7 separate regions of the Mus musculus genome follow, and regions 1, 2, 4, 5, 6 and 7 are each reported to be linked to region 3. Evidence: microRNA targets listed by miRTarBase, many of them from high-throughput screens and not tested one by one. Region 3 holds a microRNA gene; each other region holds the end of a gene's coding sequence. Distances are between the middles of the regions.
The links. Region 3 holds the annotated microRNA mmu-miR-297a-5p (AUGUAUGUGUGCAUGUGCAUGU, at 1,742-1,763, shown strand). A microRNA usually pairs through its seed, bases 2 to 8, with sites in the 3' UTR of a target mRNA and lowers its output. Matches are read on the target gene's strand: a 7mer-m8 pairs with bases 2 to 8, a 7mer-A1 pairs with bases 2 to 7 and ends in A, and an 8mer does both.

Region 1: the mRNA of Trp53bp1 is a reported target of mmu-miR-297a-5p. The part of its 3' UTR that is shown has no 7-base or 8-base seed match.
Region 2: the mRNA of Cct2 is a reported target of mmu-miR-297a-5p. Seed matches in the 3' UTR shown: 7mer-A1 at 606-612.
Region 4: miRTarBase lists Tnfsf15 as a target of mmu-miR-297a-5p. Seed matches in the 3' UTR shown: 8mer at 903-910, 7mer-A1 at 1,240-1,246, 7mer-m8 at 2,380-2,386, 7mer-m8 at 2,384-2,390, 7mer-m8 at 2,388-2,394, 7mer-m8 at 2,392-2,398 and 5 more.
Region 5: the mRNA of Cav2 is a reported target of mmu-miR-297a-5p. Seed matches in the 3' UTR shown: 8mer at 2,600-2,607.
Region 6: the mRNA of Asb7 is a reported target of mmu-miR-297a-5p. Seed matches in the 3' UTR shown: 7mer-m8 at 2,234-2,240.
Region 7: the mRNA of Dusp22 is a reported target of mmu-miR-297a-5p. Seed matches in the 3' UTR shown: 7mer-A1 at 2,471-2,477.

Annotation. Positions count from the first base shown.
Region 1 is chr2:121,195,640-121,198,751 of GRCm38, forward strand. It overlaps Trp53bp1 (transformation related protein 53 binding protein 1), which reads right to left. Exons shown (of 28, transcript NM_013735.4): 28 at 1-2,968. The coding sequence ends at 2,781. It overlaps Tubgcp4 (tubulin, gamma complex associated protein 4), which reads left to right. Exons shown (of 18, transcript NM_153387.3): 17 at 464-603; 18 at 1,096-3,112. The coding sequence ends at 1,108. Among named protein-coding and RNA genes, the nearest start is that of Tubgcp4, 26 kb to the left of the region's middle.
Region 2 is chr10:117,048,544-117,051,677 of GRCm38, reverse strand. Cct2 (chaperonin containing Tcp1, subunit 2 (beta)) reads left to right here. Exons shown (of 16, transcript NM_007636.3): 16 at 402-681. The coding sequence ends at 432. Among named protein-coding and RNA genes, the nearest start is that of Lrrc10, 4.8 kb to the right of the region's middle.
Region 3 is chr7:10,957,106-10,960,239 of GRCm38, reverse strand. Mir297-1 (microRNA 297-1) reads left to right here and starts at 1,728; the gene lies at 1,728-1,803.
Region 4 is chr4:63,726,688-63,729,811 of GRCm38, reverse strand. It overlaps Tnfsf15 (tumor necrosis factor (ligand) superfamily, member 15), which reads left to right. Exons shown (of 4, transcript NM_177371.4): 4 at 1-3,124. The coding sequence ends at 223. All of the region lies in intron 1 of Gm42294 (a long non-coding RNA gene), which reads right to left. Among named protein-coding and RNA genes, the nearest start is that of Tnfsf15, 17 kb to the left of the region's middle.
Region 5 is chr6:17,286,766-17,289,899 of GRCm38, reverse strand. Cav2 (caveolin 2) reads right to left here. Exons shown (of 3, transcript NM_016900.4): 3 at 770-3,003. The coding sequence ends at 2,853. Among named protein-coding and RNA genes, the nearest start is that of Cav2, 7.1 kb to the right of the region's middle.
Region 6 is chr7:66,645,331-66,648,330 of GRCm38, forward strand. Asb7 (ankyrin repeat and SOCS box-containing 7) reads right to left here. Exons shown (of 6, transcript NM_080443.2): 6 at 1-2,595. The coding sequence ends at 2,456. Among named protein-coding and RNA genes, the nearest start is that of Asb7, 43 kb to the right of the region's middle.
Region 7 is chr13:30,708,524-30,711,657 of GRCm38, forward strand. It overlaps Dusp22 (dual specificity phosphatase 22), which reads left to right. Exons shown (of 7, transcript NM_001037955.4): 7 at 154-2,709. The coding sequence ends at 336. Among named protein-coding and RNA genes, the nearest start is that of Irf4, 39 kb to the right of the region's middle.

The sequences.
Region 1 (3,112 bases), not on the chromosome of region 3:
AAAGATAAAAGCGCTGGTATCGGTGAATATATAATGTGCTGCCTCACAGTGTTCAGAAATAGTTCAGCCCTGAATAGTTTCTTCAGCCCACCAAGTATGCACTGGCTTTGTGCTCATTTTCTCACATCCCACTTCCTTCCCTGAACCAGCCTCCTATCTCACTTATAATTATAATCTCAGACTATATTTATCTCCTTGTAACAAAGCAGGATCACTGCAATCCCAGTATGTGATGGAATATATTAATCTTAAATGAGCTGTTAAATTCCTACTAACGAGAAAGCACTTTCATGGGAGTCATGCATCTCACGGACATGTACTAAGAAGTCATGTTAGGAGCTGATAGAAATGGGAATATGGGAAGGCCAGGTGGTCCTGCAAACATTTAAGCAAAGCTTTTCCAAAGACCCCCTTGGTTCCCAGTACCCTAGCCTGGTCACTGACAGCTCGGGTCTCTCAACAGGGCTTTAGTCGCCAGTCTTCACTCCTGTTCAAGATTCTTTCCAGTGTTCGGAATCACCAGATCAACTCAGATTTGGCTCAGTTACTGCTCCGGCTAGACTATAATAAATACTATACCCAGGCTGGTGGGACTCTGGGCAGGTAGGAACAATTCATGGGGCACTTACTAGATTTGGAGGAGGGGGTTAATGAACAATAGAAGACCAAAATGCAACTCTGGCCATCACCTCCAGATTACCCTCATTTTATAAACAAGGCTCAGAGATGCAGGAAGGGGTTGGGGGTATGGGAGTAGGGTGATCATGTTCTACAATTTTACTGGAATTTATTTTCTAGTGAAGTTCATCAGCATATTAAAATACTAAAGCTGAGGGTAAGGTCTGTGTTAGGCTATGTACTGCTATGTTCTGGGGGCAGTCTGGCTTCCACTGCCTGCTCTGACATGTACTAGCAGCAGTGTGGCTGTGGTGCCATGCTCTCTTCTAAACTTCCTTAAATCTAATACTGATATCCAGTGGTCATCGTCGGCTTCTTAAGAGAGCTGTGTTGTTGCCATGGTGTTAGCTCTATCTCAGATTGCCATGTTTCTTTGGAAGGCATGGCATTTAATGAAACTTTTTTTTTCTTTTATAGTTTTGGGATGTAAAAGAAAACTCTGGTTCAAAAAATGAAACAGCCCTGCCACATTCTGATGTCTGTAACAAATCTCTCAAATCATTCATCAAATGCCTGCAGACTGCTGAAAGGGTCTTCTAGAAGAAATGCAGAGGTATAAAAATCCTCCCTGCCATTCCTGTAGGGGAACTGGGGTCTGATATCCCTCTGCTGACCACACGAAGGATTTTGAAGACATCTGTTGGGTGGGTTCATTTGTGTAACCGGGGTTTATTGAACACTTACTATATTCCTATGGAAGATAACCACAGTAAACAGTGGGTTGGCTCATGTAAGAACGGAATCACGCTCCTGAACAGGTCAGCTTCTGTGTCACCACCAAATGAGAAAACCCTTCAGAGAGCCTGTGAGCTTTCCCTCTTTCTGTACCTTGTAACTACACAGACTATCTTTATCCTTCCCTAAAATTTAAGATTTGAGTATCCTTTATCTGAAGAATTGAGCCAGTGAGTTCTAATTCTTTCAGACTAGTAAAAGGGCAATTCTGGCTAAAGAGGATAGAGGTCAAATTGTTTAGATTTAGAAACAATTTAGTTTTCACTGCAACCCAGTTTTCCCACCTTAGACCTGCCACATGAGTTAAGGTTTTATGGTCAGATAGCCTAGCCACCACGGGCTGAGAACATACTAATGTTCTCATCAGCATAAACAAAACACTTCACTGACATCTTTCCCTCCAAGCTGGACAAGAATGAAACATCCGGGCCTCAGTCTGTAGTCACTGAGTCCTCTCTTCATCTACACTGTCTACCAACCACTATGAAAGCCTGAGCCCGTACTTGTCAACTACCCAGGAGGATTATCCCACCTTGTTACCTCACCTCTAAAAGCAGATAACAGCCTGCTGCTTGTTTTTGTAAATAAAGTACTATTCAAACAGCCACACATACTCAATTTAGCTATTGTCGGTGATTGCTCACAGACAAGACAAGTTGTTGAGACAGACAAGTGTGGTCACAAAGCCTAAAAGTATTTACTATTTGGCACTATAGAAAAAATGAGACCGCTGGCTTTATTTAGAGAATGAGAAGCCGTTCGCTAACAGGGATGATGATGATGAGTGTGAGGAAGGAATAACTTCCAACAGTTGTGACAGCTTATTTTATAGAAAACCGTCCCAGCAAATTTATAGTCACTGTCCATTCATTAACAACTGGTCATGTTCATGTTCCCAGTAGCAGGTCATCTGTCAATAAACTCCTGATACCCAGAGCTGTTCCCAGTCCCACTCAACTTTAGCACTACTGTTTACCCAGGCCCTCACCTACTTTAAACTGTTTTTGGAAGTATAACATTTTAGGTAGCCTGGGATAACCTTGACAGTGATGCCACAAAATAAAGCTCACTCCTCTATTTTTATCTCCCTTTGTTTGCTGTACTGCTAAAGTGACAAGCCTGCTGACAACTTCAGAGAAGATCCTATGTTTATCATGTTCTGAGATTAAGCTCAAAGAAACAGATGAAGACATCCCAGTTACTACAACCAAAGAGATTCAACATTTATTTTATCATAAAAGTCCAGCAAATAAAACTATGTACAAGGTCCATGCAAAGAATACAATTACACACAAGACACACTTAAAACCTGATTAAAACACAATCTCCACAATAGCAGGGAATAAAACCAGTAAGACCAAGTATCTTTAGTGAGAAACATAATCATGTTTATATTTTGGATGCTGCTTGAATCCAATTCTCTCCCCAACAATGAGGCACTGGATCACCCATTCTTGTGATACCACAGGCAGTTGCAAGGCTTCAGCACACTTGAGCACCGAGGCTGGGCATGAGGGGTCTGTCACCACCACATCAAATACCCCTAAAGCAATGTCTGTAAAAAGTAGGGGAAGTGAATGAGGGAGGGACACTCAGTTTAGCTCCTATTAAAACAAGACAGGTGTGCCTTCTAACAGGTATTCCCTACTCTGCCAAACCAAAGCCCTCTACTCTAGGTACTGTATGTTCATAATCTAAA
Region 2 (3,134 bases), not on the chromosome of region 3:
AACCACGTGTGGTAGTGCATTCCTTAGAGGCTGCGGCAGGATGCTTGCAAGTTCAAGTCTAGTCTTAGGGTGTGTGGTAAGATGTGACCTTCACAAGATGGAAAGAAAGCAAAAACCAGGCTAGCCTGTTTTGGGAAGTGTATTGTTTATCGAGTAGCTGTTTGGGTCAGGCACTGCGAACTGCTGAGTACAGGCCTGCACACTGCTGAATTGTCCTGTGTCCTCCTAATAGTGACAGTGATTGTGTGGTGTTCCGTCCTCATGGGAAGTGGGCCTGCAGTGACTACTGAGACAGAGGTTCTCGCCGTATTTGTAGTCAATGAAAATATAGTTGAAACCATACTTGTCATTGTTTACTTTTCCTTAATAGTGTGGGTTGTTTTTTTTTTTTCCCCTTACAGGAAACGTGTCCCCGATCACCACCCCTGTTAAGCATTCCCATTTGCTGATGAACTCTGGGCCAGTTCATAGCAAAGTTGTACTTGGAAGACTTCAACCTTTAAAGAAGACTGGTGGAATTGACCTGTCCATGATAGCCTTAAGTTTGAACATTAGCTGACCTTCTGTGTTAAACATGGGTCTAATTTATTTACTGTTTCATTTTCCATACAATTCAGTTGATTTACAAGTTCATTTCTCATACTGTGTATTAAAATAAAAATCCAGTTACTTAGCCCTTAATGTCTTACTGATCTGTATATATCCTGTTTGAAATTACTCACGGAAGCAGTCGTACCTCTGTAGAGTTGTTTCAGCCTAATCAATTACTGACTTTACCGTTTAATAAAGTAATTATCTTAGTTATGCATACACACACACACACACACAGTCAGGCATAGCTTTTACTGAACATTAATTTGGAGTAGAAGTACTGTAAGGTAGAGTTCTGACTTAGTTTAATATGAGTACCCCTTATTACATTAGACAACCTTTTTATTTCTGAAGTAACGTTTAACCATCCACAGCTCTCTCTCTGGTGCCTTAATAGGGTAGCATTTTCCTATCCTAAGTGTGAGTGTTAGATGTCATAACTGTCTTGTTAGGGTTTTTTGTTTTGGTAAACAGGAAATGAGCATAGGTATGTATTAGGTTTAATTTACAGTTGACACAGATGTGGAAGTTAATCAGAATATTGAAGCGTGCACAGAATTGAAGAGCTCTCAAAGGCTTAGGTGTTTTATTGGCTGCCAGGGCAACAGGCTGCCGTCATGGGGGGCAGAGGGATAGGAAGTGACTCAGTCAGTGATGTGCTCGCCACATAAGTGTGAGGGCCTGAGCTTGGACCCCTAGCACATGATACACACCTGACTCCAGCACTGGAAAGGCTAAGTGGTTACTAGTCACAGCTAGCCTGGTTACATAGGTGGGCTTCAGGGTCAGTGAGAAGTAGCCTGGTTTTTTGTTTTTTTTAGATATATGTGCATGAGTGTTTGCCTGTATGTTCCTGGTGCCTGAAGTCAGAAGACGGCCTGGGAGTCCTTGAAATGAGTTACAAGTGGTTGTCAACCACCATGCAGATGCTGGGAACTGAGCCTAGTTTCTCTGAGAGCACTAGTCACTTAGTCATCTCTCTAGCCTCTCTCTATTTTAATACCAGGAATTTATTAGGGGTAGGCAGGATGGTTCAGTGGTCAAAGGTGCTTGTCTGACCTCCATGTGTGAGAGGTGGCCAGACCCAAACCCCAAATAAATACATGTAAAAAAATACAAATTGGTACTTCAAAGAGCTGTTAATGACACGTTAGTGTCAGTGCATAGAAAATACAGGATTCTAGGATCCAGTAGGCTGCACTGGTCTCTCATGGGGCTGACTCCCACGAGGACTGGGCTGCCACTGTTTAACTTGGGAGATGTTGACAGGGTGTGGGAGGGAACCTCTTCCTGATTCTCACAGCAACTTCTGGGTTCTGATTTCTTTTTTCTTTTTTAAGATTTATTTTTAAATGTGGGGTGGGCATTTGTACTTGAGGTACAGCTGTCCTGGGAAGCCAGAGGAGTTGGGTCCCCCCCCCCCAGGAGCTAAAGTTACAGGTGGTTGGTTGACTTGGGTCTGGGAACCACACTTAGTCCCCTTAACCACTGAGTGTTTCCAGCAGCAGTTTCTACATATGTGACCGGTTTCCTCCATGGCTGTTGAAGTGGATTTGAGCTGTACTTCCCTGTGAACTCGACCCTAAGGATCAGAGTTTGCTGCTATTGTTACTGTCTCCATTCCTGTGCCCTTTATCCTCTTCAGTCATACTCTGTTTAAAACCCGCCAGTGCACTCACATGTGGTAAATCCAGATGCGTTACCTTGCTAGGTTCCTGTGGGTGCATTTTAATGTCTTCATAAGTGGGAACTTTCTGTAGATCACAATTGTTAGAGAACTTTAAAACTCCCAGCATGAACAATAAGGGAGACAGGATTTAGAGTCCTGCCTTTAGTTTATGAAGCTGAGGATGGAACCCAGACTCACAGGTTAGTAAGTGGCAGAGGTGGGGACTGAGTCCAGATAGCTAGGAGGGGGGCTTCCCTCCGCCATGGTACTGCAGAGTTCTCTGATGCCTGTGGCCTGTGCTTTTAAGGTGTTTTCAACTTATTTTGACTTCAAGACAAAAGCCATGCCCCTCCCTAACCCCTGAGTTTGAGACTGACTTAGCTGTGCCTTAGCCTCCTGAGTGCTGGCGTTACAGGTATGTGCTAGTCTTGGCAAATCCCACCTATGGAGTACAAAATTACAATTTACAGTGGTATGCCACTTAGGGCAAAATAGAAAAGCTTGGTGGTCTATTTATTTCCCTAACAAATGCTAAAGATAAGTGGGTAGGCACGGTAGGAGTCTAAGCTTTGAGTTCAGCTGAGACATCATATTGAGGCTGTCTCAAAAGAAAACAAGTTAGCTGTGTCCTGGGGTTTTTATTGCTGCGATAAAACACATAACTCCATCCCCAAGGGAGGGAAGTCAGAGGAGAACCCGAAGCAGAAGCCATGGAGGAGTGGTGCTGGCCGGCTTTCTTCTCGTGGCTTCATTTACTTCCCTATAGTACCCAGGACCCGGGAGTGGTACCTTCCCTAGTGAACTGGGCTCCCCCACAGCAACTACTAATCAAGAGGATGCCACACAAGCTTGCCCACAGGCCCATCTGGTGGAG
Region 3 (3,134 bases):
TGTAGATCAGGCTGGCCTCAAACTCATAGAGATCTGCCTGCTTCTGCCTTCTGAGTGCTGGGATTATCGGTGTGCACCACCATGCCCAGCAATATTCAAGTGTTTTAACTTACAAATACTTTCAATGTTAACATTTGCTTATTTATTTATATTTTTGTTTTGTAAATGATTTATATATTTATTATGTATAATAATATATCTGTATTTCATGTATTACATACATGAAAAAGTATGTGCTGCCCAATATCCCCAGTGCTATTGAACAGAAACAGAATAACACTGGGTCCCCGTTCCAAGTACAGTGAGAGATCCTGCCTGGGGAAAAAGCAGAGAATGATAGAGCAGGCCGCTCAGTGTCCTTTCTGCTCTCTTCCTGTACATAAGCTCATGCATCTGCGTGTGTCATATATACTGTTGCACACCTCACAATATATATACAATATACATATCTGTAGCTGTCTTCAGACACACCAGAAAAGTGCATCAGATCTCATTTCAGATGTTTGTGAGCCACCATTTGGTTGCTAGGATTTGAACTCAGGACCTCTGGAAGAGCAGTCAGTACTCTTAACCGCTGAGCTATCTCTCCAGTTCCAAAGTTAACATTTGTTACTGTGACAATAAATGGCCCTGTGAAATGCTGTCTCTTTCCATAGCAAGGGAGAAGCAATTTCTAATCTCTTCTTTGTTCGTGTTAATTTAGGTCTATGAGGCACATAGTCCTTCCTGTATCATGAAATATGGATAATATAAGATTACAGAGTCACGTTGCCCCACTTTCATGGATCTGAGTTTCTCCATGGAGAAGGAACAATTGGTTTCCTCTAGGAAGGCCCCCTGCAGCAAGAGCAAGCTAGAAAATCTGCTCCCCATGTTTTGTGCAGTCGTCTTTTTATGCAGACTTTGTCCCAGATGGCTCTTTCCACTTCCACGCTGGAAAGCTGGGTTTCTCTGCAATACTTGATAATGGATTATTTCACTGTCTTTGTGTTTTGCAATGTAGTTTTACAAGGTAGTTCTGGGTAGTCTAGAACTTACTAGATAGCTCATGCTGGCCTCGAGTTTTACAGTCTTTCTTCTGTCTTCAGCTGAGATATATACCACCATGCTACGAGGGCTTTAGTTTTAATCATGCAGACTTTTTCGCTTTGATATTAAATTTAAAAAAAAATCTACTACATATTTCCTGGTGGCTCAGTGGGTAAGAGCACTTGTTGCACAAGCTAGGGACTTGTGTCCAGCTTCCCAACACCCACATGAAAAAGTATGTGCTGCCCAATATCCCCAGTGCTATTGAACAGAAACAGAAGAACACTGGGGCCCCATTCTAAGTACAGTGAGAGATCCTGCCTGGGGAAAAAGCAGAGAATGATAGAGCAGGCCACTCAGTGTCCTTTCTGCTCTCTTCCTGTACATAAGCTCATGCATCTTTGTGTGTCATATATACTGTTGCACACCTCACAATTTAATCATTTTGGCTAAAGTGATTTTGTTTTTTGGTGGAGATCTCATGTAGGCCTGGATGAACCCCAAACTCCTGACCCTCCTACTTCAATTTCTCAAGTGCATGCATGTGCAAAAGCTAATTGATTTGTTTTTGAGAAAGGGTATCACTATGAAGCTGACTAGTCTGGAACTTGCTATGTAGAATTGCCTGGCCACAGTCTCACAGAGGTGGCATTAACAGCATGTCCCACCATGCCAGGCCCTAGAGCTAAATTTAAAGAATATGTATGTATGTATGTATGTGTGCATGTGCATGTGCATGTATGCATATTGCATGTATATATTATGCATACATGTATGTATTTGCTTGTGTTTGTATGTGTACTACAGCATGCAGGTGCTTCAAGATGATCAAGAGGATGTTGGTTTCTCTGAAGTAGAGTTAAAGATGGTTTTAGCCACCTGATGTCAGTACAGGATATGGAACCCAGGTGCTTCGAAGAGAGCAGCCAATGTTCTGAACCACAAAGCCATCCATCTCTCCAGTGCCCAGCTAAATTGTCAACGGGACTGCTTATGTTTCTTCCTTTGGGGCAGAATAAAGAGATGGACCTGACAAACCCTTTTAGCTACTGAATCAATTTAAGGTATTCACTCTAGTCAATTTGGAGGTTGTTCAGCATACATAATTATTTGTTTGAGACAGGGTCTACCCATGTAACTCTGGCTGGATGGGAATTCATTGTGTAAATTAGACTAATCTATATATTTTCTACAATCCTGCCATTAAGCTTGGAGCTCTAGGGTTTCTTGTGCCCTCTTCTGGCTAATGAGAGCACTGCATTTGTGTGTACAGATCCATACACAAGCTCCCACAGTATATGCATAATAAAAAATGAAATAAAATCTGGATCAGGAGAGATGACTCATTAGTTAAAGCATTGGCTGCTCTTCTAGAAGACCTTTGTTCAACTTACAGCACTCAAAGTAACTCACAATTATTTTTGACTCCAGTTTTAGGGGACACATGCTCTCTTCTATCCTCTACATGTGCCAGGCATGCAGGTGCTGAACAGACATACAAAAATGCAGGAAAACACCCATGTGCAATCAACCAATCTATTTTTAATTAAAAATTTTTGACAGGAGTGCTGATATACTCCTTTAATCCCAGTGTGGACACTATGCCCCTCCTTAGATTTGGGAACAAAACACCCATGGAAGGAGTTACAGAGACAAAGTTTGGAGCTGAGATGAAAGGATGGACAATGTAGAGACTGCCATATCCAGGGATCCACCCCATAATCAGCATCCAAACGCTGACACCATTGCATACACTAGCAAGATTTTATTGAAAGGACCCAGATGTAGCTGTCTCTTGTGAGACTATGCCGGGGCCTAGCAAACACAGAAGTGGATGCTCACAGTCAGCTAATGGATGGATCATAGGGCTCCCAATGGAGGAGCTAGAGAAAGTAGCCAAGGAGCTAAAGGGATCTGCAACCCTATAGGTGGAACAACATTATGAACTAACCAGTACCCCGGAGCTCTTGACTCTAGCTGCATATATATCAAAAGATGGCCTAGTCGGCCATCACTGGAAAGAGAGGCCCATTGGACTTGCAAACTTTATATGCCCCAGTACAGGGGAACACCAGGGCCAAAATGGGGGAGTGGGTGGGCAGGGG
Region 4 (3,124 bases), not on the chromosome of region 3:
CATGGTTATCACCAAGGTAGCAGACAGCTACCCTGAGCCTGCCCGCCTACTAACAGGGTCCAAGTCTGTGTGTGAAATAAGCAACAACTGGTTCCAGTCCCTCTACCTTGGGGCCACGTTCTCCTTGGAAGAAGGAGACAGACTAATGGTAAACGTCAGTGACATCTCCTTGGTGGATTACACAAAAGAAGATAAAACTTTCTTTGGAGCTTTCTTGCTATAAGGAGGAGAAAACCATCATTCCAAGGGGCTCCCCTGCCTCCTACTTTCCAATTTCCTTTTCTCATATGGATCTATAAACAGGGGCTTTAGAGGGATCAGGGAAGGGGACAGTGGTTTAGCTATATAATTTAGGAACCCAATATTGATCCGTATATGCCTTATGGACTAAAATAGTAAATGGAAAACCCAGTACAGCTCATGTTTGATAGAGACCTGCTGGGTTTTAAAAATTGAAACACGCCTCATCCAATGGCACAATCTACTGATTTCAGGACAGAACCTTTCCACAGTGCCCTCTGTCCAAGTCCTTTCTGAATTCAGCAGTTCAGTTAGAGCTGAATTCGACAATGAACTTACTCCAGATCAAGAGCTAAAGACAGAATCCAAAGAAAGACTGAGAAAATGATGTTATTTCTCCAAGAGGCAATGCATTTCCACATTCTTTTGTGCCTAACCTAAAAAATAAGAAAGAAGAAAGGAAGGAAGGAAGGAAGGAAGGAAGGAAGGAAGGAAGGAAGGAAGGAAGGAAGGAAGGAAGGAAGGAAGGGACAAGAAAAGACAAGACAAGACAAGAAAAAAGAAAAAATGGTATTTCTCGTGAATATTCCCTAAAAGGAATTGGTTTTCTGCTGTGAAGGAGAAACCTCACCTTTCTTCTGATTGCATCCTTTAGTATCCAAACATACAAGTGGGAATTCCAAATGCACATGGAACATAGAACACTTTTATTATTGTGAGAACATGTTTATTGAGTACCTACTATGCTCTGGGCACTCAGCCCACAGGACCATGAAGAGAAAGTCAAATTTTCTTAAAAACTAAATGAATCCTCAATACATACTTCCTGATCAACTACCACTCAAAATGTATAACTTCCAAAGTATAACTTCAAGTCAGCCATCTAGGTGGTTTCTTGGGTAAAGGTGCTTGTCATTAAGCCTGACACCTGGGTTTGACCTCCCAGAACCCAAAAGCTGGAAGGAGAGAATTGGTTCCCACAAATTATCCTCAAACCCCCATACAAATGATGTGGCATGCACACATGTAACTAAATAAATAAGTGTAAAACAAAAACAAAAACAAAATTTTAAAGAAAAATTTCAAGTCCTGAAAGACAGCATTCCTGAGAATGTTGTCTCCATCGTTGTCCAGTATAGGCTAACCAGCTGATAGAGACACTGAAGGAATTTAAAGACAGACATCAAGTGAAATGGAGCACTGTAGAAACACTTGATTCATGCCAGGAGTCAATGTACTATGAAGACCAACAACAAAGTGTCAGTCATCAAATCCAGAGGTGTTTATCTAGATCTGCTTTCAAGTTTGGTTTGCAGCCTTTATATAGTCTCTATTACAAATGCTCGTGTCATGGTAGATGCCACAAGGAGTCAGAGGGTAAACTTAGCCCCAAACCACTGCTGAGCCATCTTCTAGGAAACCTTCGAAGCAGAGCTGGGCAGCGTGACTCCCACACAATGACTGGGAAAGTAGTAGCTGATCAAAATTTGTTGAGTAATAATTTGTTAGAAAATTCATCTCCACTGCCTACTAAACCTAAGTTGTATACTATCTAGCTTCTGCTAAGCCAACTTACATTGGCCACTTTTTCTGTCTTCAACTTCTTGAAGTATCACAGGTCTCAGTGAGAACACAGGGAAAGGTGAGGTCGCCTTCCCCTGGTTCTTCATAGGGGAAACCACACCTGAAAGAAGATGAGCAGCCTGAGGTGACCTGGAGGAAGGGCTGTCTCAGAAGAAGGACTTATTTTTTGGCTTAGGTCTAAAACCTTGAGAGTAATGCTCACTGGTCAATTGAGGATGCTTTATCAATGACTCCAGTCTGACTCCAAGGTCAGAAAGGAGAGTGAGATGCTCTCTCTGCCTGCATATATCTTCATGGAACATGAGAATATTGAGCAACATAGACTTATAGGAAAACACTTGCCCAAAAGTAGCCAGAGTGACCTGGTCATCCCCTCTACTAAACCCAAGCTTTGTGTCAAGGGCCTTCAAAGCTGCCCAGAAGTGATCTGGATGGCTTGGGAATTTATCCAAGACAGGAATTTCCTGACAGCCAAAGATGCTTGAGTCCTTGTGCCTGACATGCATTTATTTTGCCCCTGTTTATTGAAGACTGTAACTGTTGATTTGTGGGTATACATACATACATACATACATACATACATACATACATACATATGCTGTCATGAAGGCAGCATCAAACATTACTAATTGGACTCAAACCAGCATTTCTGTTTCCAAGATACTAAGTATTCCCATGCAAACAGGAGCATGCTATTTTTCTAAAGCAAAATGAAAAAAATAGTTTTGAAAGTATATATATGATGGAGTCAAGTGTAATGGCATACATCTGTAAACCCAGCACATGGGATGCTGAGCCAGGAGGATTGCCGTGAGTTTGAGGAGAACAGGGGCTAAATAGTAATTTTCAGGAAAGCCTTGCCTATATAACAAGACCTTGTCTCAAATGAAAAAAAAAAAAAAAATAGACCCCAGGCTGGTCCTTGGAGATAAGGTAATATATTCATTGGGTGAGGGGGTGTGTGTTTTGGAAAATAGTTAATTTAGTGAGAAATGCTTTTCGGTCAAATGCATCTCAAAGGCTGCTGAATTCAAATCGGGTCTGTAAATGCTTACCTAGTGCTTGCTTGCCCTGGGGACAGAGACATAAATTACTTTAGTCTCAGATCCACTCGTTCTAACAGATTGGCATCTCCATCGTCTGTGGAGCTTTTAATCACTCTGTTTGTATTAGCTAATTAATTAGCTAACTTGAGACACACTGATATTTTCTTATTATAAACATGGGTGCCATTTGATAAAAGACAATCATTAACAAAATGGTTCGAATTTCCGCTTAAGTGATCTTCTTTTTTCCTTTT
Region 5 (3,134 bases), not on the chromosome of region 3:
ATCTATAAAGAACATTCGAAAGCAGCCAAATATCTGATTTATTAACAGATTAATTGACCACAAGAAAGTCTGTGCCAATATCAACAGTTGTTCCTCACACACTTACTCTCCAAAAATAATTTTGGAGAAATCTGGCTTTGGGATACAAGGTATTTTAGTATGTGAGTTATAATGGTATCACTTTCATATTTAAGACTTAGAAATAGAGGCATCAGTTTATTTAGGATTAGCAACATGAAACTTTACAAAGCTCGAGCGTGGTTGGTTTGTGAGCAAGCCACCACATATTAGTTATCAAATGACAGGAACATTTATGCAGAATCTCTTCAAGTGCTAGGAAAACAGAGAACTAAACGATCAGTCTCATAATTCTTCAGGACAACATTCTTTTTCCTCATGTGCATTTGCAGTGTGTGCGTCCACATTCTCTCCTGTGTGCACACACTTGTGTACGTGGTTGTGCACTCAGCTGTATGCATGCAGAGGTCTGGGGTTTGATGTCAGAAGTCTTCTATTACTATTCACCTTGTTGGCTGAGGCAAGATTTCTCAGCTGACCTCGGAGCTTGTGGATATGACTAGTCGGCCAGCTGGCCCTGGAGATCCCATCTCTGTTTTTGGAATGATGGAGCTAAAAATGGACTGCCAAGTTTGCATGGCTTCTATCTGGGTTCTGGGAATCCAAAACTCTAATTTGCTTGTATGGCAAGTACCATAACCATTTACCCATCTCTTCATCCTGACAGATACATCTTGGAACAGCAACTCGTGTCCTTGTTATTTGAGATTTTAAGAAACTTTATTTGAAAAGGTTCTTGTTCCTGAGTACCAGATGTACGACATAAGCAGCAGAAAGACAAACTATAATAGAATCAATGAAATCATCCACTGTTTTTAGAGATGTTTATTATGGATAATAAGGGAATTTCTTTGCCTCTGACTTCCAATTGCCCTGCCCCCAAAATCAACATATTTGCATATTTAACTTTGATTCCTTTTATCCACAATTTGAGTTTTTGAGACAAAATAATTCATGAAAAGTTTCAGTAAAAGTTCAGTTGAAAGTAATCAATACTATTTAGGAAAAGGAAATCATATATATTAAAAATTAAAGATTTTTATATATAATTATACATATTTGTCTTAAAATCTGTCAGAACTATTTTAAAAGGTTGAAGCTTATAATTTATTAAACTGATATTTTATTGTTAAAGTTTTGACTAATCAATACACCCAGGCATTTAAAACTTAAATTACAAAAATAATATAAAGCATGAGACTGACCTTGGAAACTAGTGTGATACAATCTTGACAGTCACATTAATGGCGATGCTTGTGGCTATTACCAAGCTATGACTTCGTTTACTGAGGATGGTACAATACCCTAAGGCTGTTTTGAAATGTTTCTTTTATGATTACCATCAAATTGATATGAGTTTTATCACTTAGTCTCTTAATATGATATTTTGACCTGGTCTGCAATAGAATCCCAGTTCAATGACCTATAATAATGACCAGAATTGAAAAATTGAAAAAAATTTATCTTCTTTCAGTGAAGATTTGACACCCATGAGCATATTCGAGCAAATGCTCATTCAGGGTTTGATAATAATTCTGAAATTTGAAATATTATGTAATTATAATGTAGAAATTTTTTAACATACCAATTTTTAAAAGACCATACTGAGTAAGGAAATAATGTTTTATAGGTTTTAAGATTCATACTAGAGAACATCTTGAAAATTTGTAATGTTAGTTTCTAATTTACACATGTACTTCAGTTTTATAAACCCTCACAATTGTTAATTCTCCTGTAAGTTTCTCTATATGAACCACTGTAGTAAAAAAAAAAATGTGCTTAGATGTTAGACACAGCCTTTATCATAAAAAATATTATTAACTAGCACCAGAATTACTTGAAAGTAAGTGAAGCATTCATAGGAATGTAGAATACAGAATAAGTTTCTAACCATTCAGAAGAAAACTTATAGTAAACAAAACAACTACATGTCTACATGTCTTATGGTCACAGCCAGATGAAGCCCAGTCATAAAACATTTGCTGGGTAAGTTGGAGAGAACACCTAGACAGCACATTTTACACTGCATTCCAAAGAATCTATCAACATTCTCCTATAGGACATCACAGTCTTACAAAGAAAGTTACCCTATGGTAGCTCTGCTTACTTTATATAATGAGATTAGTACAATAGCAAACACAAGAGAAACACACTCCAAAGCGATTTCATTAGAGTAACACTTGCATTAGGTATACAATATACAGAAAAACAAAACATCTTGTTAAATAGGCTTGCAGGCTAATAATATCACAGAGGAACACATTTTCACATTTATCTCTCTTACTATTCAATAGTTATTATCATAAGTATATACTTTTGTTAATGTACAAAGTTCCTAGAATGTTGGAATGTATTGCCTCTAGCTAGCCTTATGACCATATCTGTAAAAGTAGCTTCAAGAACATTACTCCTAGAGGAAAAGAAAATAAGAAATTCCTTACTCTTTATGAGCAGTTATGCACAAAATTACTCTAATGTCTGAGGAAGTTGCCCTTTGACCATTATCAAGTCATCACTGCAATTGTATGTTTTTTCCTAAAGATATCTGTTCTTACATTGGGTGTTGCCAATTCTTGTTATATAATTAGATATAACTTGGCTTTTGGTGAGAAAAATCATTATTTTTAAAGATCTGACAGTGAACTTCGATAAATCTGGGTTCCATTTTAAGAATAATTTTAACAGTTGGGAAGTGAACAGAACAGTAGTGAGTTTGTTGCATCAATAAAGTTGTACAGTATCCAAATGTCTGGACCTGCCCAGGGTCTGAGTGGTCAGTCGTGGCTCAGTTGCATGCTGACCGATGAGAAGCTGCGGCCCACACTTGTACACAATGGGCCAATGACAACGTCTGTCACACTCTTCCATATTGTCTGCACGGAAGGCAAGACCATTAGGCAGGTCTTCACAAAAGGCATCAGGATCCTGGAACGGGGGGAAGAGGGAGATACAAGCATTGTTAATATTACCACTAACAATTTGCATTACCAAGTAAGGGGCCTGACACACATGCTTGAACAAATACAATAATGACTTAACTCAAATGCGCTTTTAAC
Region 6 (3,000 bases), 56 Mb from region 3:
TCACCACAACCACATCAGCAACTGGACAGCCCTTCCGTTACCATAGAATACAGCACAGGACTGGGGTCTAGTATAAACAAAGGACATTCTCTCAAGCTTCCAGATAAATCAAACCACAAACAATAAATAATGGAATTATACACTTCTTCATTAAATAGAATTTTCAATTCCTGGAAGAGCACTCAGAATTGTTTTTGTTTTTTTGTTTTTTGTTTTTTTTTCTGAAGTCACAGCAGTAAACAGCACAAAGAATTTGCCTTAATATGATCTTTTTATTTGGGATCCCCTGATTCAATTCGATTTCAGTGGCTTAGTTCAGAACCCTCTGAATGGCTGGAAAGTGAATGTCACTTTTAACTTACAAAATAAATTAATTTTCATGTATGATTCCTGTGCAACTGGACACTAATATGGCAGCTCAGAGTCCAGACTCTCAGCTCTCCTCCCACCACTTTCCATGCTGGGCTGGGGCTCTAACACAAGTTACACTCAACTAATTTCTGGTCACTTTGTGTCCCTAAGGCTGGTAGTGTGTCTCCAGCCCTGACCTGGGGCCTGAATAAAGACTGAGAACACAGCTTTGCAGGTGCCTTAGAAGGGGACTCTCCATGGAGGTAACCTTTCAGCCAGGGTCACCACAGCCATCCCTATCTTCCTGGGTCCCAGCTATCACTCTGGCCTCATGCTCTCCCTGAAGGAGGCTATGGGCCACATCAGCAAGTCCCTGAAGCATCCTTTTGCCTGTTCAGGAATCCCTGTGCCACCTAGGCACACGCAAACCCAATGTTCTGCGGTCACAGCTACTCTGGCCAAGACGGCAAGCTTTGGGCTTGAGTGAACAACACTGCTAGCCTGAACTCAGGGAAACCTAATTCTGCTTAATTATGTTAGGAGGGGAAGACTTTACCCTCTATGCCTTCAAACTGGCAATTCTGACAAGAAAGGAGAAGCCCTTATCCTGCAACCTTTTGATAGCAAATTTATTAACAGTTTATAAATATTTAAAAAATTTGTCACAGCACTAAGAATGGCATGGGGAACTTAAAAGGGGGTGTCTTCAAACTAACATAACGTCAAATGAAGCAGTGAGTGTGTGTCCCCAGGAACACCCATGATGCCTAGGGCCTCTGGGCCCTCCCCCTTGTTACTAACACTTTACTACATCCGGGTCTTTCTTGCACATACTTGTCCAACCAACCCAGAAAATTAAAATATTTGTCTTGAAGAGCTTTACTGTACTCACCTTCAAAATAGACAGGAAATACTTAATTAGCGTATCAGCAATTTGCCAGGCTTACAAAAGGGTGCCCATTAGAGACTTTCCCCTTAAAATATATATGTATACATATTACCAGGAAGGCAAAAAAATCCACCAAGAAACCACCCTGAAATATTTAGTCATTAAAGTAGAATGGTTTAGCAAGAATGTGGGCTATTTCTAGGGACCTCTGTCATCACCAGAATATGAAATTTGTTCTTTAAGGTGAAATAAAACACAAAGTTTAAGGTGGAAACTGAGGTGATCCTGGTGGCCTGCTGTGGGATGGAGGTGGTGATGATGGCTCCAAGGGGCACAAGGAAGCCAACTGAAGAACAGGAAGAGCAAACCATCCAGAGACGACACCAAGAGAGTTGCACAAGAGGCACCATTTTTTGTTTTTGTTTTGTTTTTTAAAAAACAGAATACACTGGCTTTAAAAAGTTAATTCCTTTCCCCATTGATTTTGTTTTAAAAGCACAATTCAATAAGAGAGGGGGTGGGGGAGTTGAAACACAATGTTTCAGGGTAGTGTCTTACAGTTGTTAAAAAAAATAATTTAAAAAAAAAGCGCACACCAAAGGAAGCCGAGGTCCTGGGTTGGTTTTTTTCATCGGAAAGCTACATTAATTAGAAGGGAAAAAGGATTTTTAAACAGCTCATCTGTACTCATTAAAAATGAATGAGGCGACAGCATTACTGTAAGTTTCTTCACAGAGAATTTTCCAGCATCACCCAGGATCACAGGAGGTGAGCCTGAGACCTCCAAACTTTAAGAAGTATTCCGTCTACTGGTTCCTAGTACCGTGTTCACCAATGAAACCAGAGCATCAAAAGGGAAAATTCTCTGCTTCAAACCTGTCTATATTGTGCACTTAGGAAAAACAAATTTTCTAAATGCAGTATTGTATAGAAAGGCTTGGACCTCATCGACTTGGACCAAGAAACCAAATTAAGACCTTCAAGCGTGGGGTGTGTATGTGTGAGTGTAGACACACACACACACACACACACACACACACACACACACACAGATCCCTCCCCCAAATGAAATCCAAACAAACATAAACCTAAAAGTGTATACCTGCTTTCTGACTTGACCGCAAATCAGAAATTGCATAGGATATACTTTGTGCAAGGCCTGAAGCCTTTTAAGTATCTGGAATAACTCGTAATCTTGTCCACAGTCCAGGTGTATCAGATATCATCAAATTTGTGTTTTAAGTAGTCTTTCATGACCTTGGCAATTGGTAGCTCATCAAGCAGCTTCAGGTTTTGAAGGCCTATACACTGTCGAATTTTAATTCGGCACAGGTCCTGCAGGGTTCTGGGCTGTCCTAAAATGACAGAGAAAAGAGAACGTTACAGAGGTACAAAGCATTGGAGAGGGAGGGATGTGAGGGAAGGCATTGTCTGAGGAAGGGTCTACTGTGGATCTTACAGTCAAAGGACTGACCGAGATTCTCAAGTGTCATCTGTCCCTTCCTGTGGTGTCTCACCCACTTGGTCTTTTCCAAAACTCTTTACAAGGCGGTAATGTTATGGTCTGAGTATGCAATGGTCCTGTCAGGCACCCGATTAGAATATTCTGTGCCTGAATGATGGTACTGCCTTGGTGAGTGCTGTGGAATCTCCAGGAGGTGGGACATAGCTAGAGGACAGAAGTCAACGAGAGCAGAGCACTGGGAGTTGATTATTATTCCTGGATCCTTTTCTGTGTCCTCTTCTCTAACAGGCAGATG
Region 7 (3,134 bases), not on the chromosome of region 3:
TTGCTATTGGCTGTCAACCACAAAGATGTAATTGATGCCCAATGACCTTTTATTTCCATGTTCATATGTGGAACTTCACCATTGCTTAAGAGGTGAGAGTCCCTGGGAATTCATGTGTGCGTAACGCTCGGGATTTCCTTCCAACTTTTCCAGTATCGGCAATGGCTGAGAGAAGAGTATGGAGAGAACCCTTTGCGGGATGCAGAAGAAGCCAAAAATATTCTGGGTAAATATAAAGAGCAAGGGCGCATGGAGCCCCGGCCTAGCAGCAGGCGGTGGAGCAGCTTCTCAACCCTGCCTCCTCTCACCTACAATAACTACACAACAGAGACCTAACAGAGAGAGCTGGTGTCTGCCTTCCTGCTGCGGGTCTTCTGGGTTGCCTACCATGTGCTGGTGTGCCTGGTGTGCTGGCTCCTGCCTCTGAGGACTACGAGAGGAGGTCGCAGCAAGGTGGAGCACTCAGGGCTCCTTCTCAGAATACCGCCCTACTCAGGCTTTTTCACTCTCCCATCTTCGCCCCATCTTTTCCTCACCTGAACTTGCCCAGCCTGGGATGCTGCCCGGCCACCGTGTACTTCTCGTATGTGTGCAGGCGTGTGGATGTGCATGTATGTGTCTAAGAGTGTGCATATATACCTACAAATGTATGCATTGTGAACAAGTACACATGTAAATGTGTCTCTGCATGTGGGCACTGAGTGTTTATGGTGCTGAAAGTTATAAACACCCGCTGCCAGAACTGCAATGGTCACATTGTTCAGTCCACATGGAAGTCATTTGAACTTGGCCTCTGGAAAGCTACTCACCAAGTAACAGCTTATGCCTGTGCTGAGTGAGAGCTCAGGGTGTGGGCAGCTGGAAACAGTGGTGTTCCAGATTCTGAGATGGCACAGAGGAAGGGACAGGACCCTCCTGAGGAAGAGTGGCATAATCCTAGAGAGTTTTATGTCTGTGGGAACAAGGGAGGGGCTTTCTGAGCACTGTCTTGGACTTGATAAGTATACTTGCCAGCCCGTCATGGCCCTGAGTTCCACTGGTGCCTGCTCTGCGTGGGACCAGCGTCATTTGACTTTCATGGTGATATGGTATGGTGACAGGGTGGACCTGAGACTCAGTAGCCCTATACCAGAGGTCTGGCCCACCTCCTGTCTGCTTTTAAACACTTTAGCCTCTGGCTTAGCCTCTTGTTGCAGGGGTCTCATCTCAGGTTTGCATGTACCTGCAGGAACTGGAAAGAAAGGCAGTTATTAAACTCCATAGCCATTTGTGATTTAAAATGCCTACGCATTCACTGAGCTCATTGTTGTATGCTGTGGATTTGACCGCTACCTCATGAAGTTCCTTCCTTCCTTCCTTCCTTCCTTCCTTCCTTCCTTCCTTCCTTCCTTCCTTCCTTCCTTTCTTTCTTCTTTAAGGTTGAGGTTTCTTTGGTACCCCAGTCAACTCTGCTTCATAGTTGAGAATGTTTGTCATGTGACTATTGTTTTTGAAACCAAAGAGAAGAGCATACTTATGTCATTGAGTGATTTAAAATTTGCAGCTTGGCTTCTGTAAGGTTTTCTAGTGAGTCAAACCCTACATTCTGACCATGAGAGCTCCTTAGTTCAAAGTATGTGGCAGCAGGCACCCCTAGAAGCTCTGCACAGTCCAGTGTCCAGTCCTTTATGCCAATTCACGTTGCTTAAGCATGCAGGACCATGCAAATGAAAAATACACTCAACCTCTCCCTAAACGTACTGTGACCAGGCATCTCTGAAGCTTAAGAAACCCCCAAGAAGCCCCCGAGGAGCTGGACAGTGGTGGCACACACCTTTAATCCCAGCTTTTGGGAGGCAGAGGCAGGCGGATTTCTGAGTTCAAGGCCAGCCTGGTCTACAGAGTGAGTTCCAGGACAGCCAGGGCTACACAGAGAAACCCTGTCTCGAAAAACCAAAAAAAAAAAAAAAAAAAGGAGAAGCCCCTGAGGAAGAAGCAGCAGGCCTCTCTCTGTGTGTGTGGAGCCCTCAGGGACCCAGGGAAGGTGTGGTTGCCAGCTCTCTGTGTGCAGGCCGTGCCAAGCAATAGCATGAGTGACGCCTGAGTACCTGAGTATGTGTGCACGTGTATGAACAGCTGCATACCTTTCCATAGGTTCTCAACTGTCTTAATTTTTGTTGCCAGTAATGTTCTTTCTCCACAGCTGCCCCGGGAATTCTGAAGTACTGGGCCTTTCTCAGAAGACTGTAATGTACCTGAAGTTTCTGAAATATTGCAAAGTTCAGGCTGGTGCTGCCAAAAAGAAAAGTGATGTAAAGTTTATTTTTAAGAATCCAATAGTGATTTGTATACTTGTTTTTTTTTCATTTTAAACCAAATGCATGTATAATCATGTTGGAATATGTTAAGATCTATGGATATTCTGTAGCAAGAGAAAATATCTTTGCCTTAACTCCACTGCTGTGGTTGTTCCTTGGACCTGACCGATGCTCATACAATAATCTCAAGAGCCCTGTCTGTTTCGTAATAGTAACTACTTCTCATGAACACTACCCAAGGAGGAAGCCTGCACCTGGGAAGTGTGCAGTGTGAGCTCTGCCCTCCTGTTAAGTTCTCCAGCTCTAGACATGTCTCTTGGTGTGTGTTTTATCTACTGGTGTTATTCTATATGGTAGAATTACCAAAAGCTATTCAGATTTCTTAATAAAGGGCAAATCAACCAAGCCTGACATCATGTGCAGTGTGTTCTTTTGTGACGTGCAAAGGTCACATGTGTTTCTCTGGAGGATCCCAGTGCACCTAGCCTTGGCTCAGAAGACATGCTCCTCTCGAGAAGGCAGAACAGCACATGCTAACATAACACACAACATAACACACTGATGACTAAGGGAAAAACTGTCCTGGGGCTGTTGGGGCTGGAGCTGGAGCTCAGAGTAACACCCTCACCTTGTGTCTTCCCTCCTTGCACCAAAAAGAAACTATGGACGTAAAGAAGTCAGACACGGTGAGACTTTCCCTGCAGAATGAACACTTTGAGTCTTTGGTCTCTCAGGGGTGAGTGCGCGTACCACAGGGATACACCGAACAGGTAGTCCACAGACTCATTTCAAATTCATTTTCAGTTCTTAATATGGAGGAACGCAAAACTCAATTGA